Sus scrofa: one gene and its partner. The protein of the gene in region 2 interacts with the protein of the main gene of each other region in a pairwise test. Links are inferred from orthologs where the notes say so. Each region holds a gene or a part of one and is shown on either strand. Other genes may lie near its edges.

Region 1 (10,224 bases), on a different chromosome or scaffold from region 2:
TAAGAGCTTCATTCCTGTTCAAGGCTGAATAATATTCCATTGTATGGTGGGACCCTAGTTTGTTTATCCATCCATTTGCTCACACTTAGGCTGCTTCTACCATTTGGCTACTGTACTGTAAACAGAGCTACAGTGAACATCTCTGTAGAAGTGGCTGGTTGTGCCCATGTTCAATTCTTTGGAGTCCTAGGAGTATGACTGCTGGGTCATACAGTAACTCTACGTTTTGTTTTTGAAGAGCCACCGAACTTTGCTACAGAGGCTGCAGCATTTTACATTCCCAGTAGCAAGGTAAAAGGGTTCCACATCCTTATCAATACTTTTGATCATAGGCATCCTAGAAGGGGTCAAGTGATATCTCACTGGGGTTTTAATTTGCATTTCCCTAATGACTGAGGTTAAGCATCTTTTCATGTGTTCATTTGTAGGTCTGCAGAGAAGCATCTACTCAAGTCCTCTGCCCATTTTTAAACTGGGTTATCTCAATTTGGATTGAGTTACAGGAGTTCTTTATTCTCTATGTTACGGTAAACTTTTGTCAGATATTATTTGCAAATATTTTCTCCCACTCTGTAGGCTGTTTCTTGATAATGTCTGTTTTTTTTTTTTTTTTTTTTTTTTTTTGCTTTTGCTTTATAGGGCCATGCCTGCGGCATATGGAAGCTCCCAGGCTAGAGGTGGAGTCTGAGCCACAGCTGCTGGCCTACACCACAGCCACAGCAATGCAGGATCCGAGTGTCTGTGAACTACACCACAGCTCATAGCAATGTCGGATCCTTAACCCACTGAGAGAGGCCAGGGATCAAACCCACATCCTCAGGGATACTAGTTGGGCTCGCTATCACTGAGCCACAATGGGAGCTTGTGATAATGTCTTTTGAGGCACAAAAGATTTTAATTTTGATGAAGTCCAATTTACCTATTTTGCTTTTGTTCCATGGCTTTAGCTCGTATTTAGGGCATCAATCCTTGCTTTTTAGGGCCGCACCTGTGGCATATGGAGGTTCCCAGGCTAGGGGGCGAATCTGAGCTACAGCTGCTGGCCTACACCACAGCCACAGCAATGCAGGACTGGGCCACGTCTGTGACCTACACTACAGGTCACGGCAACACCAGATTCTTAACCCACTGAGCGAGGCCTGGGATCGAACCTACAACCACATGGTTACTAGTCAGATTTGTTTCCAATGCACCAAGACAGGAGTTCCTGAACTTAATTTTCTTTTTTCAGGAATCAAACCTATGCCACTGCAGTGACCCAAGCTGTTGCAGTGACAATGCTGGATCCTTAACCCACTGTGCCACAGTGGGAACTTCTAGACTGTGAACTTCTTAAAGGCGGGGTCTGGGTCTTTTAAAAATCATGACCCAGTGCCTGGTACCCAGCAGGTGCTCCATAATTAACTGTGGGATGAATGGCTAGTGAAGTGGATAAACTACAGCCAAGGAGTATCCTCCATCCCCCGCCTACTTCTCATCACCACTGTGAGACCACTGACAGCTGGTCCAAAGACTCTTGTCTATAACAAAGCAAACCGGAGAGGCTGACCATATTAAGAACTAAATGTGCATGAGCAACTGCCTTACCCACTTCTATTCAACTAAAACAATCCAAAGTTAACCAATGCACTTAACTAAGGACAGAGCCAAGGGTCCTGGCCCTGGAAAGCTCAACGTGCCTTGTTCAAGTCTCTCATCGCACAGAGGAGGAAACAGAAGCTCCAGTGGAGCCAGTGACTTCCCAAAGCCTGGGCTTCCACTCCAGGCCTTTTCCCACCAAACGCAGGCCTGCGTGGTCACCCGCTTGAGGGTCAGAAAGGCATGAGGGGAGGCTGAACTGCTTCAAATGGTGGGAGTGGCCCTTGGGCTCCAAAACCTGCCAGTGGAAAAATGAACCCTGGATCCTGACTCATTCTGCTACATGAGGGCCCCCTCCCTGTCCACGTCATCTGCTCACCCTGAGCCAGCCACACGGCCCCCTTCCCTGGACCTGCTTGTTACAGGCTGGTTCCTGCCACAGGTGTTCGCAGCTGCTGTTCCCTGTGCTCAGAATGCCCTTCCCTCAGACATCCTGCACCGGGCTCTGTCCCTCCCTGTACAGGTCTGCTCAACAATTCAGCCCATCAGTGCGCCCTCCCCATCCCTCCTCTCCTCAGCATTCATCAGCGCTGGACCTAATATGTCCACTGCTTGTCTCCTCCCAATTTCCACGTCCCTACCTCCCACAGGAGTGAAAGTTCCTTAAAGGCAGGGACGTCACTGTCAATTGCTGTATCCCTGGTCCCTGGAACAGTGCCGAGCAGGCCGTGGGTACCAGGTAAGTATCTGCGAAAGGCGTGGAGAAAGGGACAAAGTAGGGAGCACCACACTCAGCATTTCCGTGTCACGAAAAGCGTTTACAGAGGTGGAGGCGGGCAGCTTCACACGCCCAGGTGAGCGCTGCCTGGAACCTGCAGCCAGAGGCCCACAGGCTGTCCCGGGCTCCTGCACCTGTGACTGGGCAGGTGGGGCTGGGACATGGAGTGCTGTCAACACTCCCACGCATCTCAGCCAAGCCCAGGAGGCCGGCAGCTGCTGCGGTGCTGACCTGGCTGTAGAAAGCAGTCTCTCCCCATGGGTGCCTAATAAGTGCTTGTGAAATACACACACACATGAATGAACAGCTAGTGTGCACAAGGCTTACGCCTGCACTTCTAGAAGGCTCGTGTCAGCACTCCTAGCAGCATAGCATTCCAACAATGCCGGGCGGTGGTTGGACCCAGTAGTTCCATTTCTAGGGACCTACGGTCAGGATATATCCAGACATGAAAGTTTTATTTGCAAGGTTCTTCCTTCCAGTGACGTAACACTGAAAACTGCAACCCAAAAGCTGATTTCTAACCTTAGGGGGCCAGTTAAGTAAATCATAAACTAGCCACAGAACTTCCATGAAGACTTCACAATGACATGGAAACTATTAGAATATTAAGTAAAAAGGGCTAGTTATAAAATTGTACTTATGCTGTGACCACAACTACGAAGGGAATTCACAAGACTGTGAAAATGTGTTCATTTTTCTATTCTTTCAAACTTTCTGTATTGCCTAAGTTTTCTATGAGCAATAATGACTCCAAAAATCAACAGAACTTAAAATACTCTTACCTGATACCTCACTGGTGCCCAGGTTGCAACTGCTTAACCCTCCATCCCTCGACTGGGTCACGTCCTGGCCCCTTTCTGCGTTCAGCCCACCCTGCTCCTCCTCTTCCTCCCGCTTGCCCCCCACCCTGCCACAGCTCTGACTCAGTTGCCATACCTGCTGCCCCACCCCCCGAAATCCTGGTCCAAGCTGGGCTGCCCCACCTGATACCCTCCTGGCCCACAGACCCACGATGGCGCCTGACTCTTCTTCCGCTTCCCCGCTGTGTGACCCCGGGTAAGATACTGAACCTCTCTGAGACTCCACATCCTCCTCAGGAGAATGAGGTTGAACCCAGCTCACAGGGACCTGAAGGCCCCCACCTCAAGGGCCTCTGAGGTTCAGCGAGTTAGACCCTCACCTCACCACGCCCTTTGCAGCTGAGGTGCAACATGCTAAGTGCTGTGAGGGTCTCTAAGCCCTAGCACAGGATGGGCCCCAACCTACCGGCTCTACCTTGTGAAGCGCTGTACATAGGGCACGCTGATGGACGGGGAGTAATGTCCTTATTCCCAATCTGCATAAATCCGGACACCTGTCCTCTCCTGAGGGGTGCAGAAAAGCAGTTTTGCTCTGGGATCCTGGATCAAAGCAGTGGTTTCTTGGCTGAAATGCCCATTCCCCTCGTCGAAGCCTCCACCACTCCAGAAAACTCACAGCCCAACTCTCACAGTGCTGCCCAAATCCAAACCCCAGGCGATCACCCTTTCTGAGCCTGGGTTCTGTCTTCTGAAGATGCTCCTGGCATGTTCATTTGAGGTTCTGCTGACTCCTCACTCCATCTTCTCCCATCCACACCGACACTCGCCCAGGCACCCGACTCAGGGCTTGGTTCTCCTGATCTGCCCGTCACAGGGCTTTACACACGCCTTCTGCATGAACATCCTGCCTTCACCCCTCTATGGCGCCGCAGGCAGTTTATGAGCCCCGGCTGTGGCCAGGCTCCATGGCGGGTGCAAGGGTGCAGAGGTGAATAAGAACCGTCTCAGGTTCCTGCTCTTGGGGAACCGAGAGGCTTGTCAGAGAGAGACTCATGAAAAATTAAATAACCACCTTTCCGTGTGGGAAGTGCTATGAAGACAGGTGTGCCCCAGGCTGTGGGGGCCTTGTCTCAGGTGTGACCACAGTGCAGCCAGGGACAGAAGGAAATAGCTTTTAAGGGGATTCTAATGGCAAAAATTGACCTTGAAGGATGGCGTATCAAACAGCAAAATCAAATCACCCACACACTACTTATCCCAAAGCCTGTAGTGGCCCCTACTGCCCCTCATCCATCACCCACAATCTGACTCCGATCTCACCCTCCAGACCCCAGACCCCCGGCGGCACTTGCTCCGTGGGGCTGGCTAGAAAGCCAGGCAGCTGTGCTGACTTTGCTTCGACAGCCCCTTCTCCCCGAGCCTCGCCACCATGAGTCACATTCCTGACCAATACCACTCAAAGTGTGGTGTCCAGCCTCGAGGCATCAGCATAACACGGGCGCTGGTTAGGAAAGCAGACGCTCACCCTGACCCCAGGCCTCCAGAACCTGAATCTTCTCATATGTGCACGGAAGTGTGAGAGGCCCTGCTCTCTGCCTCAACTCCACTCCCCAGGCCTTTGGCTTCCTCCTCTTCATGCTGTTGCCAGCTGCCACCTTTTGGCATCAACATAGACGCAGCGAGCTGACACCCCACCTCCAGAGCGTCCACCCCCTCAGTCCCACTGACCTTCACATCCCCCCCGGCCCCACCTGGCCCAGGACAGCACGTGCGTGTCACAGCCCTCGCCATCTGAGCCCCGGCCTCCACCTGTGGACAAGTGGCACACGACGGTCCTTCTGTCAAGCTCACTGAGAGGGACAGATGGCAGGCAGAGACTTTCTGAGTAATTATGTGCCACCAGAAGAAGCACGTGTCATTGTGGAATCTTCACCTGACCCTACATGGGGACACCTGTCATTCCCGCTGTGGAAGTGAGGGAGTGGAGGCTTTGGGAGGTCAGGGAGTAAGAGGGCTTCTGGAGACAACCCCAGCTTACACCCTGCGCCGGGAGAGATGGTGGGCACCACAGCCTCACAGAGCGAGCTTCCGAGGAGGAGGAGGAATGTCTGCACTTTAGCTGGGGACAGTCACTTAACCAGGACCTAGAAACATGGGGACAAGTAACACACAAGTGGGAGAGGTACAGGGGCCAGACCGCGAAGCCCTGTAGTGACCGACTAAAGGGCTGAGACTTTCAGGGCAACAGGAGCAATGATGCTTTTGGAGTGGGCTGGCCCCAAACAGCCACCTCCTCCCTGACCCTCGTCCCATTCCCTCACCCACAAACCAGCCCCTTCACCATTTAAGACATGCTCCTCAGACCCTCCCAAAGCGGGAAATGCAGTCAGATCCCCCTGGCATGCTGGGCTCCATCGCTTGCCTTCTGCCCTCCCCTCCCCTCTCCAGGAGGAAGCCCAGCGCCAGGGACACCAGCACCGGGGGTTTCTCCCAAGCAGCTCCCCCACAGCAAAGCCTTATCAAGAGTCATGAAAAAGGGCCCAGCTGCCCGAAACTTTCCCTCCCCCAACATGATGGGGCTCCCCCTCCAAGCCCAGTCTGCCCATATCAAATCGGCTGTGTCCACCACCATCTCCAAGAGGAGGGTTGGAGACCTGCCTCCTTCCCAAGGAGGCCCAGCTGCACCCTGGGGATGGAGCTAAGAGGCCGTCTCTACCCTGGGGGAGCTCACAAGACGGAGCCCAACCTGAGGATGGACCCCTTCAATGGGGAGACGTTCTCACACCGCCTCTGCGATACATTCACGCACCTGGATCTATACGCTAACCCAAGAAACCAAAGCCTTCATCTTCGAAAATGTCTTTTAGGAGCAAATAATCACTGTAACAAGGAATCTGCTCTGCGACTGAAAACATTTAAGATTAACCTTGTATAAAACAGAAAATGTTAAAATTGCAACACAAAATTAATCCCTCCATCATTTACAGACTGGAATAGCACTCTGTGAGATGCAGGTCTGTACTGGAGTCCAGCTACTCAACCTGTGATCTCTGGGCCACAGTCTCAACACCACCCAGCTTGTTAGAGACGCAGAAGGCAGGGCCCACCCCAAACTCCTTAAATCGGAATCTGTATCTTAACACTGAAGCTTGGGAAGCCCTGGTGTAGTCTAGGGTTTGCAGGGCTGGCCGTGGGGGGTTGAGGGGTGGGGAGGGGAAAACAAGGTCAGATGGAGGCAGGTGACACAGGACCGGCAAAGAAGAGGTGATCTTAGTGCTTCTGCAGGGAACACTTTCTGGAAGCAACGTGAGGGAGGTCTAGGTGTGAGGGGCTTGCTAGGGAGAGCAGCAAAGTGGAGGCAAAGGGGAGAAGCATGTGCAGTGACCCAGTCCCAGTGCGGGGTGGGAAGGAGGGGGCAGGCTGCAGGAGGGGCTGAGGTGTGACAGACGGGTGGGATCTGTCCAGCGCTGCTGTCACTGTCGGGGGAGAGAAAGGAGACCCTGCGGTTTCTAAGCTGGAAGATCCTGTCACTTACAGAGAGAGCTTTTTTAAGGAGGAAGGTGCAGAGCTCTGCTCTGGACATGTGTGTGCAAAGTGGGGAAGCTGAGGACCCTTGAGGGAAATGCTGGGATGTGATATACACAGAGATGATAGACCTGTGCGCCCCCGAGGATGGGATTGGGTGTGCACACCCAGGAAAGCCTGCAGGAGGATAAGAGGAGAGGAAAAGGGGGCCAGATGCCCAGGGTGAGCGGAGAGGCAGGAGGAGAGCTGCGTCACAGAAGCTGCAGCACAGAGATCAAATGCGCTGAGATATGCAAACTGGCCACCGGTCCTGACAAGTGAGTGGCCCTGGCCAGGTCCCACGGCAAGAGTAGTGTTGCTCAAGGGGTGGGGTAGCCTGGGAACACTGGGCTGAGGGATGCAGGCGGCAGATGAAGCTGAGACTGCAGGATGAATAAATTCCTAAACATCTCACCTGAGGTTGCAAGGCCCCTTTAACCACAATTACGGCCTTCGGCACACGTGTGTTCACAGCGGCACTGCTTGCAAAAGCCGAAAGGTGGAAGCAGCCCACTGACAGGTGAATGAATAACAGAATGTGGTAATGTAAGTCCACTGGAGTATTACTCAGCCTTAAAAAGCTAGGGATTTCTGACACATGTGACAACATGGATCAATCTGGAGAACATTAATGCTAAGTGAAATAAGCCAGTCACAGAAGGACAAGTGCTGCATGATTCTACTTCTACAAGGTCTCTTTATAGTAGTTAAAATCAGAGAGACAGAAAGTAGAAGGGTGGCTGCCAGGGACATGGATGGGGGAGAAACGGAGTTTCTCTTAAAAGGGACAGAGTTTCACTTTTGCAAGATGAAGAGTTCTGTGGATTTGTGGTGGTAATAGTAGCACAAATATGTGACTGTGCTTAAAGCCACTGAACTGTACTTACACTTAAAAATGGTTAGGATGGTAAGTTTTATGTCATATGTATTTTACCACAATTTTTATACGTCTTTTGGAGTTTCCACTGTGGCACAACAAGATCGGTGCCATCTCTGCAGCACCAGGATGCAGGTTCAATCCCCAGCCTAACGCAGTGGGTTAAAGGATCCAGCATCGCTGTGGCTGCAGCACAGGTCACAACCACGGCTCAGATCTGATTCCTGGCCCAGGAACTCCATATGCCCAGGAGCACCCAAAATTTTTTTTAAAAATGTCTTTCTTTCATTATAGGTATAGAAAACCTGAACTCCTAGAACTGAACAGTATGTCTGTGTCAAAAGCAGTAAGAGCAAATCTTTTTCAGAGACTGTCAACTATTCCTCCGGCAGGCTTCGCAGTGAAAGGAAGGGGGTGATGGGGCGGTGACCTAACAGTGAGGCCAGGGTTGGAGAAGGTTTCTTTTCTTCCCCCAGGTGATAGGACAACAGTCTTCAACTGTAACTGGAGCGGTAAGCCTGAACCAGCCAGAGACACTCATTTTCTCAAACTGGAAGAAAGAAGAGAGGAGCCAGAAAATGAAGGTGGGGGGTGGGGGGAGGAGACTCCCTGTACATGGCCCTCAGCATCTCATGGCTATAGGTGGTGTGTGTGTGGGGGGGGAGGTCACCTGGAGAGGAGGGCGACAGGTAGGAGACATGGAGAGCATGGAAAAAAGTCAGGTTGGCTGGCATGGCAGCAACAAAGGAGGACAGAGGGCTGTTTGGGCAGCAGGGAGGGCCCAGTGGCTGCAAAGCAGAAAGCACACCATCTGAAACTATCACGAAGCCTGGAGCAGTGGTCCTCAAAGGAAGGTCCCTGGTCTCTGGACCAGCAGCATCATGGAAAAGCCTGTTAGAAATGCAAATACCAAAGCCCCACCTGGGTCTGATTCAAAGCCACTGAATCAGAAACTCTGGGGGTGGGGCCCAGCAGCCTGTGTTTTAAAATGTGATTCTTTTTTTTTTTTTTGTCTTTCGTCTTTTTAGGGCCTCACCCTCAGCATACGGAGATTCCCAGGCTAGGGGTCGAATAGGAGCTACAGCTGCTGGCCTATGCCACAACCACAGCCACGCCAGATCCAAGCCACGTCTGTGACCTACACCACAGCTCACAGCCACACTGGATCCTTAACCCACTGAGTGAGGCCAGGGATCAAACCTGAGTCCTCATGGATACTAGTCGAGTTCATTAACCACTGAGCCAAGATGGGAACTCCTAAAAGGTGATTCTGATGGACTGACGTTTGAGAAACTCTAGCACAGAATATACAGATTCAATGGAAGGTACATATCATCTCCTTTATATGAAAGTGAAAAAAAAAATCAGCCTAGCAACTTCTACATAAAAGAGCAAGTAATGCATAGCTGCTTCGACACCAGTATAGCTCATTCTTACAGTCAGAGAAATGTCAAAGGATGTTCACCAGATGAGAGGAACACACAGTCCATTTAATAAACTTCCTCAGATGAGATCTAGAAAACATACCTAAGATCTGGGGGCTGGAACCTGTATGATGCGGGTACCAGTCCCTGCTCTCTGACTACGTCCCCTGGACATGCCTCAGTTTCCCCATCAGTAAAGAGAGGGAGCTAGAAAAAGTTATCCTGAGGTCCCTACAGATGAGACTATGTGAATGTCTCTGTAATGAAAAAGGTGACCTTAGACTCAATGCTTTTACACAGCTGTGCTGGGGGGCTGAGAAGGAGGATTTAAACCAGTAAACATAATACTGTTCACTAGAAAATTTTCCAAAGTTCAGTAAGTGCTAGTACCCTGCATTCTATTAACTAGAGACTCTTTCACTAACTGGCTTTTCCATTACAGCCACCAATGCCTAGAGTTCTAAGAACATTATACTGTGCCGGATCACGTTCTTGAAGTCAGCAGGACTGAGTTGTCCCAGAAAAATCCCTCTATAGCTTCACATTTTCACCCTATAATACAGGCATACCTCAGAGACCTTGAGGGTTTGGTTCTAATGTGGCAATAAAGCAAATACTGCAATAAAGCGAGTCACATACATTGTTTGGTCTCCCAATGCATATACAAGTTATATTTATACTAGACTGTAGTCTACTAAGTGTATAATAGCATTATGCATAAAAAACAATATACACACCTTAATTTAAAAACCTTATTGCTAAAAAATGCCAACCATCATATGAACCTTCAGTGACTCATCTTTTGCTGGTGGAGGTTTGAAAGATTTTGAGAACTAATAAAAGGTGACACAGACACAAAGTGAGCAAATGCAGTGGGTAAAATGGCGCCAAAAGACTTACTTGATGCAGGGTGGCCACAATCCTTCAATTTGTAAAAAACAACAACAAACAAACAAACAAAAAAAAACACAGTATCTTCGAAGTATCAACACAATGAGGGACGCCTACACTTTTTAACCCAGGAAGGCAGGGTTCGTGGTTTTTTGCCAGGCATTAAATGAGCCAAGGAATTGGACTAATCAGACCCCAGGGTCTGCCCCCTCCCCGGGACTGAGCATCTGACGACTCAATACTGCAAATCTAGGCTTGCTAATAAATGGCCCCATACTGGCCTTGGTACAGGAATCCCTAGCTACTGGT
Region 2 (10,079 bases):
CAAAGGCAAAAAGCCACATAAGAACCCCTCGCCTAACTCTGATGAGCCATGAAGAAACAGGGAGTAGGGAAAATTCTCAGTATGTAGCTTATGAACCTATTAGGTTACTGCAAGTATGCTCAAACTGCAGACTTGAACCTTGGAAAATCCTGGTCTCAGCTTCAGCTGTACTTTCAGTCCTGACTTAATTTTTTTTTTTTTTTTTTTTCCTTTTGGCCTTGCCTACAGTATGTGGAAGTGTCCAGGTCAGGGATGGAACCAGAGCCACTGAGCCACCAGGGAACTCCCAGTCCTGACTTTCTGATCCCCTCATCAGTCACCCATGACATTCAGTTCAAACATGAATTCCTCAAACTTAGTCTCCTCCTCATCCCATTTAACTTCCCATGCTTCAGACAGGAATCCTCTCAGTTTTGTCCCCCAAATCCTTGGCCTCGTTTACCTCTACAGACATTCTTTCTACTCCCTTCCTCCTCCAGGGAAGAGATAGTCCCACAAGTCAAGCTTTCTACTTTGAGGCCACAGCAGAAAGACTCCTGATTTCCAGGAGCTTCTCTGTATCTCAGAAGATGTGAGCATGTTCACTATCAATAGAGAGAGACATAATAAAAAAAATAAATTTATTTTTAAAATGGGGAGAGGGCAGCTCACGCTTTGACAGCAGACCCTCAGCTGTGACCCCCAACTGCCTTTTGGCTGCCCTGCAGGCACGTCCCATGCTGCTGACTCATCTAGTTTGCTCCATGCTGCTCATCCCAATGACCATTACCATCCTCTGCCCACCCTGCCCCCCACAAACTAGAAAGCCCATTCCTCTTAACTTGCCACATCTGTATCCAAGTTCTGCAGATCTGTAGACTTCATTTTCTAAAGATCTGTAGATTTCATTTTCTAAAGAATTTGCAATCCAGAGTTCCCTTCGTGGCTCAGTGGTTAACGAACCCAACTAGAATCCATGAGGATGTGGCTTCGATCCCTGGCCTCACTCAGTGGGTTAAGGATCCAGCACTGCAGTGAGCTGTGTAGAACGAAGATGTGGCTCAGATGCCGAGTTGCTGTGGCTGTGGGGTAGGCCGGCAGCTGTAGCTCTGATTTGACCGCTAGCCTGGGAACCTCCATATGCTGCAAGTGCAGCCCTAAAAATAAAACGAAACAAACAAACAAAAAAACACCAAAGACTTTGCAATCCAACCCACTATAGTTGACTTTGGTCCAGGACAACACCTCTTAACCTGAAATGACAATATCAATCCCCCATGCTATTCCCAGCCTCCAATCTCAATCTCAATATTCAATACATGAGCATTGATGACAAACCAGGTAATGAACTATATGCTGAAGCAGTGAACAAGACCCTGCTGCTGTGGATTAGGCAGACATTAAACGATACCACACAAGTGAACGACATCATTATAACCTTGGTAAGTTTCAGGAAAGTACTATATAGAGCACGTTAAGAAAATGAAATGGGAAAGTCTACTTCAGTGGTTTCCAACATGGAGGCAATTTTCACCCCAGAAGACATCTGGTAATGTCTGAAAATACTTTTGGTTGTCCAAACTGAGAGATGTGTGTGCTCCTGGGCATCTAGGCATGGAGGCTAGGGATACTGCTAAACCTCCTACAATGAATAGACAGCCCCTCACACAAAAAATGATCTGATCCAACATCAGTAATACTTAGACTGAGAAACCCTGGTCTAATCTAAGCAGACTGGGTGAGTTCAGGGGAAGCCAACTTGACTACCTAACATTTAAAGTGAGGAATTAAGGATCAGCAGCAGTTGGCCAGAGGAAGAGCAGGCAGAAGGGAGGAGAACTTTCTTAGCAGAGGAAATAGCAACTTTGATGTCCCTGAGGTGAGCAAGAGCTTTGGGCAGTATGGCTAGAAGAAATGAAGGGCTCAAGGATGGGCTAGAGAGAATGCTACTAAGAGGATCAGGGAGACAGAGTTGCATGGCCTCGAATGATGGCAGAAAAGGCAAACCAAAAGATGCCACTTGTATGAAGTGCCAAAAAATGAGACTGGCTTGGGGAGTGAGGTAGATTCTTGGTCTTGGGCACCTGAATGGCTGGCACCTGCGTGCTGGAATGCCCAGAAGGAATACTTCAATTTGTAGGTACCTGTTGCACTTGAGCCTGACACTCGCAAACAAACAGGGCTGGGAATTCAGATTATAGGTACACATGGGTGGGATCTGAGAAATGTCAATATAAAGTCACTTTTGAAGTCACGGGAGCAGGGGAATTCACTTTGAAATCTTTCTAACCTGCATTTCCCAAGCCATTCCCCTGCTTAAAACCTTTCAGTGGGGCTTCACCAATGGGTTTTATTCCATTAGAGATAAAGTCAGGTCTAGGCCTAAAATGTTCTGGCCTCTGCTCAGTCTCTTCTAGACCTCCACCCCTGCTGAAGGCTCACAAGCATTCCCCGTTCCCCACAAAGGGACAGATTCTCTCAGTCTCGAGGCCTTTGGCACGCTCACCCTCTGACAGGAACTCACCCTTTCTCCTAGTTTACTCGTCGTGTGGTTGTTCAGGTTTCTGCCTAGCTATCCTCTCCTTCAGGAGCCTTATGAGTTTAGTTCATGGTAGGAACCCTGGGCTCCCAGAGCCCCCACACCAGATCAAAACTGGGCCATCCCTCCATCCATCCCCACCCACACACAGCCATCCCTCTTAGGACTGGCAGCGCATTCAAGGCTTGACAGCCATTGTCCTGCCTCAAGACCCTTATCGAACTGTGAATGAAAAATATTGCCTGCCCAGAGTTCCCACTGTGGTACAATGGAATTGGTGGTGCCCGGGGCAGCAAGGCAAATTAAAGAATCTGGGATTGCTGCAGCTGGGCTCTGATCTGATCCCTGGCCCGGGAAATCCATACGTCACAAGGCCGCCAAAAAAGAAAAACTGCAGGCCATATCAGTAAACAAAGGATACTGCAGCCATCAGGCCACCACAGCACAGTTACCCGGACTGCGAGCCCTGCAGAGAATGCTGAAGCCACCCCCATTGGTGCATCCTTAAGAGACTCAGGATGGGAAAAACACTGGGTCCTAGCCCCAGAGCTGAGGTGCATATCTAAAGTATGATTTCAATGAGCCCAGACTCTGCATCTTCCCATACATTAAAAAAACACTAAATTCGGAGTTCCCATCATGGCTCAGTGGTTAACGAATCCGACCAGGAACCATGAGGTTGCAGGTTAGATCCCTGGCCTTGCTCAGTTGGGTTAAGGATCCAGCGTTGCCCTGAGCTGTGGTGTAGGTTGCAGACGCAGCTCGGATCTCGCGTTGCTGTGGCTCTGGCGTAGGCGGGCGGCTACAGGTCCCATTCGACCCCTAGCCTGGGAACCTCTATATGCCGCGGGAGCAGCCAGAGAAAATGGGAAAAAGACAAAAAAAGACAAAAAAAAAAAAAAAAAACCACAACAACAAAACACTAAATTCATTAACTTGAGATGTCTGGTTTTCTTTGAGTAACAATAATCTTTTGTTGTTCCAACTAGCAGACCTTTTGTTGCAAACACTTCTATATATTCTGGCTTCCTCCTCCCCCCCTTCCCCTTGCCTCTTCAGAGCAGCCTTTCAGAGTTACCTAAGAAGCTGTGTTCTGGGCTTAAGTTCTTAGTTTTGGCTACCAGATAAAACATAATTCTTTTAGGTTGTGCACTTTTTTTCAGTTGATAAAACTCAGATCACCATCATTGGTCACTAATGGCTTTCAGTCAGGCCTCAGTGCTCCCCAGGACTCTGCCACCTCAGCTCCCAGGCGTCTACGTCCCCAGCCGACCCTCCTCGGAGGGGAGTCGGGGAGTCGTATATCAGGATTGCTGGACCCCAACTATCTTGGAAGAGGCCTCAGCCTACGCCTCTCCAAGCACTGGCCAACCTAAAAAGGTCTCATCCCTGGTCTCCCCACGACCCGATCAGACGCTCTTCATCCTCATTTTCCAGGGAAGAGCCTCACCTACTGCTCCTTCCATCCCCGCTTCCCCACCGGGCCACAAGCGTCCTGGACCCAAACCAACATGGGGGACGGGGGGCTTGTCGCCGACCTCCCCGCTGCGGCCCTCTAGTGAGGCCAGGCCCCCGCCCAACTCAGCGACGCGGCCACAGGTGTCTCTCCTTCCCCTTGCCCCGCCCCAGCCGACCGCGCTCCCGCGCATCTTTCTGCAGCCCAGCTCCCCTCTCCGCGTCACCTAGTTTATGAAAGGCCTTAGGAGCCTTTGTTTCCTAGGCTACTACAGCCGCTCCGGAGCTCTGCCATCTCCTAGGCTCCCGCCCGCCACCTGCCCCCCGCCCCCCTCTTCCTCCTCCTCCGAGCATCCCTTTGTTCTTAAAGCCCCTCCCCAGGCAAATGTTCGGTTTCTTCGCTAGCGCGCGCCACAAAATCAAGCTCACCCGCCAAAAGCCGCTCCCCCACGCACTCCAGACCCGTGACCGGGAGGAGTATGAGCTCCGAGGTTGCTCGCGGCCAAACGTAGTCTTCGTGAGCGTCCATGTCTACCCACGAGCGGCTGCAACTGCCACGGCCAAGAAAGGAGCAGAGATACCGCGAGAGGAGCCTTCCCGCGCGGCCCCGCAGCAGCTCTACAGCGGCCTTAGCAACAGGTAGCTGAGGCAAGGGCGCCCGCCGCAGAGGTCCAATGACGGCCGCCCCCCGCCCCCGCCGTCAGGCTGGGATTGGTGGGGCCGCTCGTGCCCGCCCCCTCACGTGATTCCGCAGCGCTCCGCCTCGCCCGGTCTCGCTCCCGCCCCGGAGCTTCTCCGCCCTGCAGCTCCAAACCGTGTAGTTTTATTTGTCGGGGCAGCATAGGTCTGTACACAATAAATAACATTGATATAGGAGCTATGTCCTAATCGTGGCTGGAGGCAGGGATGGGGCAAGACAATGGCCAGGCCTTTGACCTGCGGCTAGACAGAGGGACGGCAGGGCCCCGACCTCAGGGTGGACACTCCCCTCAGAGCTCCACACGCGCGTTGCGGTAGGCCCTGTCCAGGGCCCACTCCGGCTGCGAGTCGGCGCCACCTTCGCGGGCCAGGCGCGCCATCTCCTGCTGGAAGAGCGCCTGCCGCGCCCGGCTGGGGTCCACGTTGATCCAGTTGTTGGCAATCCATTTAGTTCCGCGTGTGACCAGGCAGCCCCCGTGCAGCGAGTAGTCGTCCACATCGCCCACCCAACCTAGGAGAGGAGGATGTGAGCAAGCGAGGGGACGGTAGGGACTCCAGGCTGGACTGACTTGAGCTTGTGGGCTGGCCTGAGTTTGGCCTCATGTAGCCTAAGTGCATGGCAAGGGTAGGCCCAGCTGCGCACACCTTCAGTGGCAAACATACGGCCCCAAGGCCTCCTTGGGGGCTCAGCATCTCTCTCCAGTGAATGCCTTATCAAGACCTCTAGCCCTCTGAAACCAGCTGCCAGGCCTGTCCACAGACCTTCCCAGTCTGGGTTACTGAGGGGCACAAGTCCCCAGCCCCAATGAGCGGGAAAGCTATGTGGCATCAGGGAATCACAGGGCTCCAGATAACCCAGGAGGCTGCACAGGTGCTGGCTGGTGAAGTCACTGAGGATGGCCTTTGGGAGGGACGAAGGGCAGAAAGCCACTTGAAGGACAGGCAGAAACAGCTCCCCAGGGTGGCATTCAGGGCTGAGTAAAGGGAAGCTTCTCGCAAGGCAGCCCTAGCCTGGCCAAAGTTCCTCACCTTGCCCATCAGGCAGGTAGTTGTACCAGAAGACTGCTGTGCCCTGACGGGGCTTGACACGCAGGTTCCCCTTGTCACAGTGCCTCCGAGTGTCACGGAGGTCAATGTCATCCTGAATCAGACTCTGTGGGCAGCAGAGTGATGGGGTTTACAAGCCATCCCTACTGTATGGCCAGGAGCCTAAGGCCAGGCAGCCAAAGGTGGCCAGAGGGACACCAGTGCTCAAGGGACAGTTTAGGCCTCATCCCAAGTCTGAAGGGGGAGGTATACACTACATTTGCCCAAGGCCCTGCCATCCCACCAGAGTAACAGCCGGGTTGGCCCTTACCATTTCATCATAGGTTCTGTTGTCTGCTACAGGGAAGACAGTCTCGCCCCCACCGGTGACGTTGTTCAAATAAAACAGCACTGTCATGTAGCTGTAAGGCAGGGGGGCTGTTGAGCAGGTCCCCATCTGTGGACACTCCCAGAGGCTTACCTGTGGGCAGGATAAGCTGCCCAGGTTCCCAAGGGCCAGAGGGGCAGGCTGGGTTTCGTGATAACAAGGGAGGTCAGTAGCAACACGTCCCTAGGCCATTCTTCCCACAAGTCTCCTTCTGGGTGTCACAATGTTTTTTGTGGCCAAAATCTCAGGTGCAGTTAGCTAAATTACATGGTCTTGACCAAGGGTCAGCTGGGAAAGGCAGGCTAGCAGGAGCAGCAAGATCATGCAGGGGGAAGGCTGGCTGCAACTGGCAGGGGCTAAGCCAGAGCAGCCACATGAAGATGAAAGATCTGCCACCACACCTTGACAGGGAAGGGGGACACAACTTAAGGGAGAAGCTGAGGTCTCTAGCAGTGGAGGCAGGATTAACAACCACAGAAGGGGGCAGAAATAATCAGGGGTCCAGACTTGCCCCTTGCCTGAAAGCTCTAGGGGCGAGTTTGAGTGTCTGTGGGTACCTCAGTCTAGCCACCAAGACAAGATAGCCACCCTTTTGGGCCAGCTGGTAAACAACTTGGGGGAGAAGTGCGGGTATCTTTGACAAAGATGGCCCAGCACTTTGCCAGCCACATACTAAGGGGCACACCCACAGGGCAGGGCTGTGCTTGTGTCATGGGGGTGCCTGACTGGGAACTGAAGGCAGTGTCCAGGTGGGAGGTACTTGCCGGCAGGAGGTCTCAAAGGGTACAGACTCGTTGGCTACCAGCTTGGTATGGGAGCAGATGGTCTCTGGGTACACAGGCCCGCTGTCCACATGGGCATGGTAGTGGCCTCCCTCGCCATACCGCACGACCTGCAGCGGCTCGCTGAGCTCCACGATCTCAGGTGACAGGCGGGTGAGGCGCAGCACCCTGGTGGGCAGCAGACATCAGCCTGGCAGCCCCATGCCAGGTGGCACCTGAAGGAGCTGGCAGGGTGGTCCCTGCCAAAAGCTCTCCCCCTTCCTATTTCCCCTGGAAGCCCCTTAAGCCACCCCAGACTGGCCCTGTAGGAACAGGAAAGGGTTACTCATGATGAGCCCTTTTTCCTGGATGCCAGAAACATCCACTGGGTGGGAAAGAGGAGACTTCCACTAAGTTGGGCAAGGGAGAGACATTCCCTCCAGGAAGGAGGTGGTTATCTAAAACCCCTGGCTGCTCAGGGGCAGGGGGTCCTGTGGACAGAGATAAGAGGTCATTTCTCTAATTAGCAGAAGACAAACATTCAGCCTTTTTCTTATCCCAAATGTATATTGTTTGCCCACAGTTAGGGTTAACTGGCCTTTGTTAATCATCTGTCTCCTAATGGGTCCCAATCCTAGTCTAACAACTGGAACTTAATCCTGAATTGGTTAATAGCCAAGGTCTTCAAGGGCCCTGGTGGTCCTCTCCCCCTGCACCAGAGAGGACAGCCTCAGGTGCTCACCTCTGGCGGATGGCACGCATGACGTGATGGGCACCTTCACCCTGGTACAGCCACGTGTGGTAGCTGTTACGCACCAGCTCACTGGACTCTGCTTTGTGGCTCCTCATGTACTTGTGAAAGTCCCGAAGGTCCATGTCGGAGAACTCCTGCAGGCTCAGCACTCCTGCACAGGGCAACCACCATCAATGCCCACCAAGCCCGTGGGGGGAGGCCACACTAGGGGGATACACCTTCCTACCTTCCCCTGGCCTTAGGCACTCGGGGGCCATGTGCACCCCAACCTGGACTTGGGTCAGATGAAGTTGGCTTCTGTCACATCAGGCCCTACAGGAAGACCCAAAAGGTTTATTTCCTCAGTTTAAGCCCTGATTTGGCCCCCAAAAGGATGAAGCCCAACCCCTTTTAGATTGACCACAGCGGGGTCTCTCCAAAGGAAGCTTAAGCCATGTGGCCAGGACCCTAGGCCAAGGACTGTCCCTGGCCCTCCAGCTTGGCTCTGTAGAGTGTGGTGGCCACCCTCCAGTCCTGTAGCAGGTGAAGAAAGAGAGCATTCAGTGCTGCTTTTGTCCAGGGCCATCCACACTGTAGTGGGACTGGTCCCCAGGAGTTCCCTCGTGACCTAAAGTCTTATCCTGAGTGGAATACACCTGCCTGCTGGATAACCAGTCCACCCGAGCAGAAAGAGCCAGGGCACCCCCCCAAATGAGAACACTCTCCCTTTTCCTGCCCAACCCAAAAAGCTGGGCTCTACCCTTTTGGGGTTCTGGAAGAGTAGCTGATGTCTTTGCTCCATGTTATCCTGGCTGACCCAAATGAGGCACTTTCATGCTTTGGCCTATTTTCCTCTGAGGGTGGGGGGGGCTCAAGGGCTGAGAGTCTGTCACTAGCTCTGTACACAGAGGCAGTAGCAGCATGATAACCCTCCAGCCACAGGTCCTGGCAGATTCTTCACTCTGCCACAAGGCTGTTCTTCCAAGTCCCATTTCCTCAACTGGTCCACACTTGGACGTGAGGGTGGTGACTACACTTCAGAGACTTTCTGAGGGTTATTACCAAAGGGGAGGGTGCTTACACAACATCCCTACCCACACCCACCCCCAGCAGTTAGCATGACTCTGAGTGGGTGAGAGGAAGGCAAGGGGACACCTTGGTTAGAGCAAGGAGGCTGACTGCTGGGCCAGACTGGGGAGAGGCAGATGCGAAACTGACCTCACTGTCCCTTTGCTTCCGCTCTACCAATCTGCCCTCTGTCAGCCAGCAACCATACCTCCTATGCTCCAGAGGCTGTCTGATGAAGTCAAAAGGGTCTCCAAAAACTGTCCTCTAGACTGTTACCAAGCCAAATGGCAAGGTCTAGCTCCTGCTCACCTCCCAGCCGTGAAGGCAAGGCTGGATCCTCACCTTCTCATCTCTGGCTACTCTACAAGCTGGGCAGAGAGGCTGCCTGGCTGGTGGGCAGGAGGCTCACGAGGACAGGTTTGTGGCGAGGTATGAGCTCACCATCACCATCAGGGTCAGCCTTGATCGCAGAGTACATCTCCTGAATGTTCTCTGGAGTCATCCACCGTCCATTTCCCAGGCGAGTCTGGGCCAGGACCTAAAGCACAAGATGGTGCCTCAGTGGGGGTGGCCCAGTGATGGAGTTATCAGAGCCCAGAGAGCTGCCTAGTTCTTTCTGTAGGGCTAAGGGTTCAGGTGACAGCACATGGGTGAGGACACAGGACAGAGCCTTAGGCCCCTAAGCTGAAGTGAGGGCAGGCAGAGAGTTACAGAGGCATGTGGGAAGGAGGCCAGGAAGTCAGCCGACACCTGAGGGCCATGACCACTCCCAGCCCCACTGGGACTCTGGCTTCTATGGGGAACACTGTTGGCTTGTTGGAGGCAGAGTGAAGGACAGGCCTATGTCCCGCCCAGATACACCAGGTGAGGTTGCTGGGGGGTGGGGGTGGGGGGCCAAGGCCTGTGGGCGAAGAGGGAACAGGCACCATGGGAAGGCCTGGTCGGCTAATGGCCTCCTTAGGGAGAATGGGCTCAGTAAGGCACTTTGTGTAGGCAAGGGACCCCACAGAAGCCTGAGCATGAGGGGCCTGCAGAGAGAGATGCAGACTTCTGGCCCCTCAGAGCTGCCATCCTACCCAGCATGAGTTCCGTGGGGCTCCTGGCAATGGCAACCAGGAATCCAGACCACAGAGAGCACACCACCTGGGAACTGTGGCAATAAATGCCAATACCCCCAGGTGGACTCTCCTGCCATTCTCTGGGGTTTCCAGGGCAACAAGAGGCTCTCCAGGGAGGGAAGGAGGACCCTGGGCCTGGGCATGCCCAAATTGATCTGAGATGGCAACTGACTCTTGGGGCCAGGGCTGAGCAGCACAAGTGACCTAGCCACCAGAAAGACAATTCTGGGTACTCCCCCACCCCGGTGCCTACTCCAGGCCCTGGGATCCCAACCTCACGGAGCTGCAGGTGACCATCATGGTTCTGGTCCAG

The links.
Region 1: the proteins of WDR6 (region 2) and PTPN3 interact in binary tests that used the Homo sapiens proteins (3 or more experiments, as listed by UniProt). The two-hybrid records come from large-scale screens. The link is inferred for Sus scrofa from reciprocal best matches to the Homo sapiens genes WDR6 and PTPN3.

What each region holds. Positions count from the first base shown.
Region 1 is NC_010443.5:250,521,541-250,531,764, forward strand, and holds the start of PTPN3 (tyrosine-protein phosphatase non-receptor type 3), read right to left. Parts: upstream 4,848-10,224; 5' UTR 3,702-4,847; coding exon 3,626-3,701; intron 1-3,625.
Region 2 is NC_010455.5:31,636,947-31,647,025, reverse strand, and holds the start of WDR6 (WD repeat-containing protein 6), read right to left. Parts: upstream 4,820-10,079; 5' UTR 4,503-4,819; coding exon 4,403-4,502; intron 1-4,402. Other genes in the region: P4HTM (transmembrane prolyl 4-hydroxylase), read right to left, coding at 4,963-5,183, 5,702-5,825, 6,030-6,120, 6,851-7,036, 7,590-7,752, 9,090-9,186, 10,041-10,079. UniProt on the Homo sapiens protein: Together with methyltransferase FTSJ1, methylates the 2'-O-ribose of nucleotides at position 34 of the tRNA anticodon loop of substrate tRNAs. Required for the correct positioning of the substrate tRNA for methylation.